2 linked regions of the Callithrix jacchus genome follow. The main gene of each other region encodes a partner of the protein of the gene in region 2 in a complex. Links are inferred from orthologs where the notes say so. Each region holds a gene or a part of one and is shown on either strand. Other genes may lie near its edges. The genes, in order: RAP1A and RAF1.

What was found.
Region 1: the proteins of RAF1 (region 2) and RAP1A are in contact, whole or in part, in a crystal structure (PDB 3KUC), measured with the Homo sapiens proteins. The link is inferred for Callithrix jacchus from reciprocal best matches to the Homo sapiens genes RAF1 and RAP1A. Residues at the interface, in NP_001341619.1 of Homo sapiens: Thr57, Arg59, Asn64, Lys65, Gln66, Arg67, Thr68, Val69, Val70, Lys84, Lys87, Val88, Arg89, Gly90; in NP_001010935.1 of Homo sapiens: Val21, Gln25, Ile27, Val29, Asp33, Pro34, Ile36, Glu37, Asp38, Ser39, Tyr40, Arg41.

The regions. Positions count from the first base shown.
Region 1 is NC_133508.1:149,582,463-149,586,758, forward strand, and holds the start of RAP1A (ras-related protein Rap-1A), read left to right. Parts: upstream 1-1,489; 5' UTR 1,490-1,631; exon of another isoform or gene 1,632-2,045; intron 2,046-4,296. UniProt on the Homo sapiens protein: Counteracts the mitogenic function of Ras, at least partly because it can interact with Ras GAPs and RAF in a competitive manner. Together with ITGB1BP1, regulates KRIT1 localization to microtubules and membranes.
Region 2 is NC_133516.1:69,764,038-69,767,852, forward strand, and holds part of RAF1 (RAF proto-oncogene serine/threonine-protein kinase), read right to left. Parts: intron 2,708-3,815; coding exon 2,605-2,707; intron 2,281-2,604; coding exon 2,123-2,280; intron 134-2,122; coding exon 35-133; intron 1-34. UniProt on the Homo sapiens protein: Serine/threonine-protein kinase that acts as a regulatory link between the membrane-associated Ras GTPases and the MAPK/ERK cascade, and this critical regulatory link functions as a switch determining cell fate decisions including proliferation, differentiation, apoptosis, survival and oncogenic transformation.

The sequences.
Region 1 (4,296 bases), on a different chromosome or scaffold from region 2:
TATTCAACATCCCGGCTTGGATGTATAACAGGTACCTTTTTTTTTTTTTTTTTTTTTTGAGACGGAGTTTCGCTCTTTGTTACCCAGGCTGGAGTGCAATGGCGCGATCTCGGCTCACCGCAACCTCTGCCTCCTGAGTTCAGGCAATTCTCCTACCTCAGCCTCCTGAGTAGCTGGGATTACAGGCACGCGCCACAGTGCCCAGCTAATTTTTTGTATTTTTAGTAGAGACGGGGTTTCACGATGTTGACCAGGATGGTCTCGATCTCTTGACCTCGTGATCCACCCGCCTCGGCCTCCCAAAGTGCTGGGATTACAGGCTTGAGCCACCGCGCCCGGCCGAACGGGTACCTTAAATATAACATGTGCAAAAAAGTCTCTTGATTTCCCCATCCCCAAATCTGCGCCTCCTTTTCATTAAATGGCACCACCATTAAATCAGTCATCTGGCGGGAACATAAGAATCAACTCTGATTTCCTTTTGTTCTTTCACACAGTATGCCCCAAATCCAAATCCATTCTAATTATAATGTATCTAAATACAATAAAATAGCCTTCTCATCCTGTCCATGGCTGCCAGGCTACTTAATCCAAGCTACCGTACTGGTAACCCAAGGACATCTGTGCTTTCCCCATTGTGTATTTTACACACATCAGCAAGACTAACTTTTAAAAATGTGAATCAGATGCGGTCATTCCTCAGCTCACCCTCCTACTATGGTTTCCAGTTCCTGTTATAAGGCCCACAGGTTTCACTGGATCTGGCCACTGGCCCACCTCTCTGAGCCTAGCTGGTACTGCTCTCGGGCTGGCTGACGCTGCACAGCCACGCCGGCCTTTCACTGTTTCTGCACATGGCAGGCATATCCCTACCTCTGGGTTTATGGCTGATTTTCTCTTAGCCTGGAAAAGGCTATTCGTCCTCCCCGCCCCCGTGTCTGCAAGACTTACTCCTTCATACCGTGTGTATGGGCTCAAAGGTCTTGGAGACGCAGTATCTGACCAGGTGTAAAGTCACCCTATCTCCCGTTTATTTTCCTCCACACCAGTTATCACTACCTGCAGTTTTTGTCACTTGTTTGTTGTCTGTATCCCCTCTCCCACTCCACTAGCAAGCATGCTGCAGGAGGGTCTTTGCCTGTCTATGGCTTGATCCCTTTGCGCTTAGTTAGAACACCGCCTGGCACCTAACAGGTGCTCAGTTCTTGTCGAATGCTTGCGTTCCCTCCAAATTTTCTTCTTGAATCTTTGGACCCTTCCTCATTTTTTTTCCGGTCTTACCCACCTCCCATTCCGCCTGTGTGCAAAGCTAAAATTCCCCGCCCCTTCCCGGTAGTTCCAGGACTTCCCCGCTCCCCGCTTAAAGTGCGCGGCTCCTTTAAGCGGACTCCGGAACGCCGCGGGGAAGGCGGGGCCGAAGCCCATTCGCGGCTCACTTGGAGGGGCGGGACAGAATTAGGGGGCGGGGATGCGTGCTGCGTGCGTGCGCGTTCTGGAGGAGGCGCCGCCGCCGCTCCCGAGGCCGCTGCTGCCGTCGCCGCGCAGAGCCGGAGCAGGAGCCACGGGCGAGAGGAGGGAGGAGGAGGAGGAGGAGGAGGAGGAGGAGGTGGAGGAGGTGCCGGACCAGGGGGGTGAGTGAGGGGCGGGGAGCCCTAGACTGTCCCAGAGGGAGCGGGGGGCGCGGGTCGGCGGAGCCGATGGTGAGGCGGCTCATGTCGCCGGTCAGTCGCCTGGCTCCCCCTTCCTCCTCCGCGTTCCATCGGTGTCCGGGGCGGCGGCCCGGGGGCCTGGCCGGCGGGAGGGGCCGGAGATCAGGGAGGCCCGGCCACCGCCAGGGCCAGAGCCAACCACGCCCGCGGACCGACCCGGTCGACTGTAGGCCTGCGGGAGATCGTCGGGAGGGGCCCCGGCCGGCTGTGGGAGAGAAAGAGGACATTGTGTCCCCCACCCTTCAACTCCCCGAGGTGTCATAGCACAAGCCCATTTCCCTTGCCGTCTCCCCAGACTTGGTGCCCTCGCCCATCACTGCCTGAGAGACTTAGAAGGTTGGACGTCGCTGCCTTCCTCTCTTGCATGTCCCCTGTCTAGGGTCAGAGCTTCCTTTCCAACCCACCTCTCCCTTTTGGCGGGGCACACGGGGAGGGGGTTGGAGGGTTGGGTGAATTCTCTGTCCTCTGTCCTCTGCTGTAGAAGTGCGGACCGGTTGGAGCGTTGCTATGTCCGTGTTCACTTCTGTCAGGGTTCAGGGTCTCCTTTTCCTTCCTTTATTCCCCCAGTGAATAGGGCTGACATCTCTACATCCCACTCCACCTTCTAGCCCCTTTCCCGCCTTCTTTACCCCCAGGTCTTCCGTAGCTTACCATGTGTTCGCTTCTTCAATGTTACTTTTCATGAGTCTCTGCTTCTTCCCTGAATTTTGTTAGGGAAGAGGTCACAGTGTGATTCTTGTAATCTTTCAAACTAACGTTGGTAAGAGCATCTCTTGCCCCTCTTACTCAGGAAGTTAAGGACGGTGTCTTCAGCCGAATTGTGTAATTTACTGCTACGGGGAGAAGATGAGAGGAAGACATTTGTGCTTGCCAAATGGGATCTCCTCACAGGGCTGAGAACCAGAGTTTAGGGAACCTTTGACCTCTTGGAAAAAGAACTACTGTTGAGGAGTAATGCATTCTGTTTCGGGAGGGAAAATCATTTTGTTCCTTCCTTGAAGGTAGGAGGCATAGGAAGTGAAATAGAATAATAGAGCAGAAGGTGATTGGACCACAGCCCTGCAGGTAGCCACTCTTTTCTCCTTCTTAGGTGGTGGATGATGGTTTTGTTATTACAGTAAGCGTAAAGTATCAGCTCTTAGATTTAACTTGGGGCTCCTACCTTCAAAAGTGTGAAGGGCTGTCTCAGAAGAGATGCTGCTGGAAACAGGATTTGGAAACTTTCTTTGGGTTTCCTGTCAGAATGTGTGGGGGTGGACATGCCTATGTGTAGTTTTCTTTACTTGTGATGTAATTTATTTCTGTGATACTTTGACATAATAAGCATTAAATTAGGCCCCAGACTTTCTGTCTTTATTATTAGTTCCTGTAACATTTTTGTTTTGAAATTATATAGTTTGATATTCTTTTGTATATATTTCAGGGACTCTTGTCTAGTTTCCTGGGTGTTTAAATTATGGTCTACTTCAGATACGATCAGCTGTAAGGTACTGCGGATCATACATGTTCAGTATTTGTTGAATGAATTGAATGATTACCAAGATGAGTCTAGGTGTTAAATCTTCCGTCCTTTTGAGAGGTACCCTATATTAGGATATTGCATTCCACTTCCAGTTTGTAAAATAGTAATTCTTAACCTTTTCTAGGCCACTGACACCTTTGAGAATATGTTGAAATATATAAACTCTCTCCTCAGAAAAAAGTTAATAGGCATTTATTCACAAAATTTTGCATTAGTGTTAGGGACCCTCTGAGGCCAACCATGACCATCTGTCTTAAAAGTGAACTGGATGGAATCCCTGAGTGTTGCCCAATTCATATTAAAACAGCTCAAAAGTCTTTGTTCACTTTTTGTATGGCCTCAGGAAGGACAGTATCTATACTTAATATACCCCAGAAGTTAAGTATATTCGTATACATTGATCCTGTACTGTAGTCCTTCTGGGAATAAATCCCCAAGGAAAGATTCCAAGAGAAAGAAAATGTTGTATATGCACATGTTCGTTTAATTACTTTAATAGATGGGAAGAAAAGGAAACTATATGTCCAACAGCATGAAGATACACAATTTTGCAATCACTGAAAAAGGTTAGAATTGAAGATTATTAATCTCCTAATTGATCTTCCGGCTTCCACTCTTGCCCCTCCACCCCAAGTTGATTTCCACACAGCAGCTACAATGATGCTCACAAATTTAAGTCAGAGCAAGTCTCTCTTGTTTTCACAACTGTCCAGTGTTTTCCCATCTCATTCACAGTAAAAATCCGAAGTTCTTACCATGGCATGCAAGACTTACAGCAGCCCAGCTATTTCTTTCTTTCTTTTCTTTTTTGAGACGGAGTTTCGCTGTTGTTACCCAGACTGGAGTGCAATGGCGCGATCTCGGCTCACCGCAACCTCCTCCACCTGGGTTCAGGCAATTCTCCTGCCTCAGCCTCCCAAGTAGCTGGGACTACAGGCGTGCACCATCATGCCCAGCTAATTTTTGTATTTTTAGTAGAGACAGGGTTTCACCTTGTTGACCAGGATGGTCTCGATCTCTTGACCTGGTGATCCACCCGCCTCAGCCTCCCAAAGTGCTGGGATT
Region 2 (3,815 bases):
CTTTCTAAGAGAAAAGCTATGGGTAAAAAATTACCTAACAGGCATCCGGGTAACAGACTCTCGCATACGACGCATAGTCAAAGAAGGTAGTGCTGGGACTCCACTATCACCAACAGTGGAATTTGGAAACAATCTAAATGAAAGCAGGGAAAGACTGGTTTTTAGAGCTGTAGTAATCTTACAGAGATAATCAGCATGCCTTGCTTTTGCAAACTCACAGCTATTCAAACTGAACTTTGCCCAGTCACATTTTCCTCAACTGTTTTACGTTACCTACAGTAAAAGGAACAACATTCCAAATAACTGGGTTTGAATGATTATTAAATGTGAATAATACTGACCTGCCAATAAACATACAGTCTCCAGCGTGCATTTCTTTTTTTTTTTTGAGACGGAGTCTTGCTCCGTTGCCCAGGTTGGAGTGTAGTGGTGCATACTCGGCTCACTGCAACCTCTGCCTCCCAGGTTCTCCTGCTTCAGCCTCCCAAGTACCTGGGATTACAGGTGTACACCACCACATCCAGCTAATTTTTGTATTTTTAGTAGAGACAGGGTTTCACTATGTTGGCCAAGCTGGTCTTGAACTCCTGACCTCAGCTGATCCACCCACCTCAGCCTCCCTAAGTGCTGGGATTACAGGCGTTAGCCACCATGCCCACCCCAGTGTGCATTTCTAGGACTGTGCATTTTTAGGAAATATTGGTCCTATGTCTAGCAGGATCAAAATAATGTTTTTTCAGACTACACAGCATTTTACAAACTATGTCACATAGTGCTTTTCCAGAAACATTTCAACTTGGAAATACATAGATAAAAACAGTAAAACAGGAGGAATAAATCATAGAAAAGTGAGTAATTAGGCACCTTCTTTCCATGAGCTGGGCACTTGTGCTTAGTAAATTTCACAGGTTATGTCAGCAAGCCTCACAAAAACAATGCAAGGAAGGTAATATCCCCTTTATTCAGACACGTGAATGAAAACTCAGATGTGATTATGGTTAATGAGAACACTGAGATTTTGGTACATGTCTGTTGGACTCAAAAGCTTGTGCTGCTGGGTGCAGTGGCTCATGCCTGTACCTGCAACACTTTGGAAGGCTAAGGTGGACAGATTGCTTGAGCTCAGGAGTTGGAGACCAACCCAGGCAACACGATGAAACCCCGTCTCTACAAAAAATACAAAAGTTAGCTAGGCATGGTGAAATACACCTGTAGTCTCAGCTACTAAGGAGACTGAGGTGAGGATTACTTGAACCCAAGAGGTTGAGGCTATAGTGAGCTATGATCATGCCACTGCCCTCCAGCCTGGGCAAGAGGGTGAGACCCTGTTTTTTTTTTTGAAGGACAAAAATAAGACAAATAAAAAAAGGTTGTGCCTGCCATTTGTGCTACTCAAGCTCTCATTACAAAATCAATATGTGAGTAACCACGAAAGCAAAAAAGATGTTTCCATTATGGTCTAATAACACTCTCTTGGTTTCTCTAGTACTGTCGAAAAGGACAAAACTTTAAACTTTTCATATTCCTGGTGACAGTTTTTAAAAGGCAGTTTGGACCATGTACTTTAAATTTTTTAATAAAATAATATTTTGTCTATATGAAATATATTGTGTCCTGACAGAAACAAGAATCTTTCAAGATTTTATGTTCAAACAATTTTAAGTCCAAACAACTAAGTTTTCTCCAGTTTGGAGTTAAGAAAATAGCATCAACTGCGCTTTCTGCTCCTTCTCAATGTTAAAGGCTTGTTCAGCATAAGCAACAAAATACAGAGCAGTGTCTACTAGCAACCCAGCAGATGATACTATTAAGAGAGAAAACCAAAAAATCTTCTCATTTTCATATCCTTTTGTTCTTTTCCTTACTGAATCACAGTCACAATATGGCAATCTCAATTTAACAGACAACAAGTCCTATTCCTACCTGCTCATTTTGGAGTATTAATGCCACCAAACCTAGCTAGTTTCAGAAGTATCTGTTTCTAAAGTAGATAGTTTCTGGATCACAATTCTGTAAATGAATCTAGAATCCAGACCTGTCAGTCAAAATCTACAATGAATATCCTTTAAAGTATTTATACTCCTTATCCCTATATTCCTTGAGAAAATGAACAATGCCTTACAAGAGTTGTCTGATATTACTCCAGTCCACACACATAGTAGGTACTTTGGTGCTACAGTGCTCATGAAATTTGTAGCCACAAGTCTGACATCGAAATCCATTGAGCAGGAATTTCTGACAGATGTCACAGAAGGCAAGCTTCAGGAACGTCTTCCGAGCCTACAAGAACACAGGTGTAAATTATGCTGAATAAAAGATGACAAAAGACAAAGTCATTTTCTTCCTTGGCCTCCAAAAGAGTTTTTACAAAAATCAATCATACTTCCAACATTTACAGAATTCATAATCATAAATTAAAGTGTATCTCTGACTAAGGCAATGAAATCTAAATTGCCTTACTGTAAACAATGGCATAAAGAGCCTCAAACAATCCAAATACACACACACACACACACACACACACACATATGCCTATTACCTGAGAAATTTCTGTTAGGCCTGGCAAAGCCCTCAACATGCTAGAAAGAGAGATGTGCAACTTACAAAGTTGTGTGTTGTGAGGGGAACATGATCCAGGAAATCTACTTGAAGTTCTTCTCCAATCAAAGAGGCAGCATCAGTATTCCAATCTAAGCGTGCTTTTTTACTAAAAAGGATTAAAAAAAAAAAAACATGAAAGGGAAATGTTTAAACAAGGTAGGAGTTCAATACAAATAACAGCTACCATTTATCACATGCTATAAACAACTCTATATAGCTTTATATAGCCATAAAACAATAATCTATTTAATTCATTGAACAAACCTATAAAATAAGTATTATCATTCCTATCTGAAAAAATAGGAAAACTGGGACTCTAAGAAGGTAACTTGCTGAAGGCCACACAGCAAGTATAAAGGCCTATGTTGGACCACATCTGTTGAACTCCAAAGCCCATGTTCTTAGAATGAAGTTTTCTCTTTATTTATTTAAAACATTTTTTTTTGGTAGAGATAGAGCCTTGCTGTGTTGCCCAGGCTGGTCTTGAATTCTTGGCCTCAAGTGGTTCTCCTGCATCAGCCTCCCAAAGTGCTGGGATTACAGGTGTGAACCACCATATCTGGCCATGATAAAGTTTTATTTAAACAATGATATATAACAATCTCACGATAAAGTCAATATATATTAAATTGAAATTTGTAACATTAAAATCTTACAAAAATCCCCAAATCCTGTCAAATGGATTATAAATATTGCTGCAGTACAAAATTTAGTCTTCAATAGTCTATTTCAATCTAGATAAACAGAAAGGAACCACAAATGAAATGTACTTTTCTATTAATAAAAGACTCTGATCTGTAGTTGTAGGGTCTGCAAGATAATGACAGACTTAAGTGTCTTAAAATCTACTCTGAAACCACACCTTCTGTGCCTACAGTATAAATAAGACAAAAAATATATACATATAAAAATTAACGCCCAATTCCATTCTCATGTCTTATCCAGTTAATCTGGCCCGTTTTCCAAAGGAAGAATATTCTCAGGTAAAGAAAGAATAACATGTATAGCACTATTCAAGCCTCTCCATCATCTACCAGAAGACTAGTCAAGCCATTTTTCTCCCTATCCAACAGTAACTAATACACTCCTTAATATAATTACCTACACAGCATATGGGAAACTCCCTATAACTCCAAAGGACTATTTTGCCCTTGTGAATACAGGGAAGAGAAGCCTTATTTTCTTATCAGTCTGCAGAGTGATCCTAGTGACAA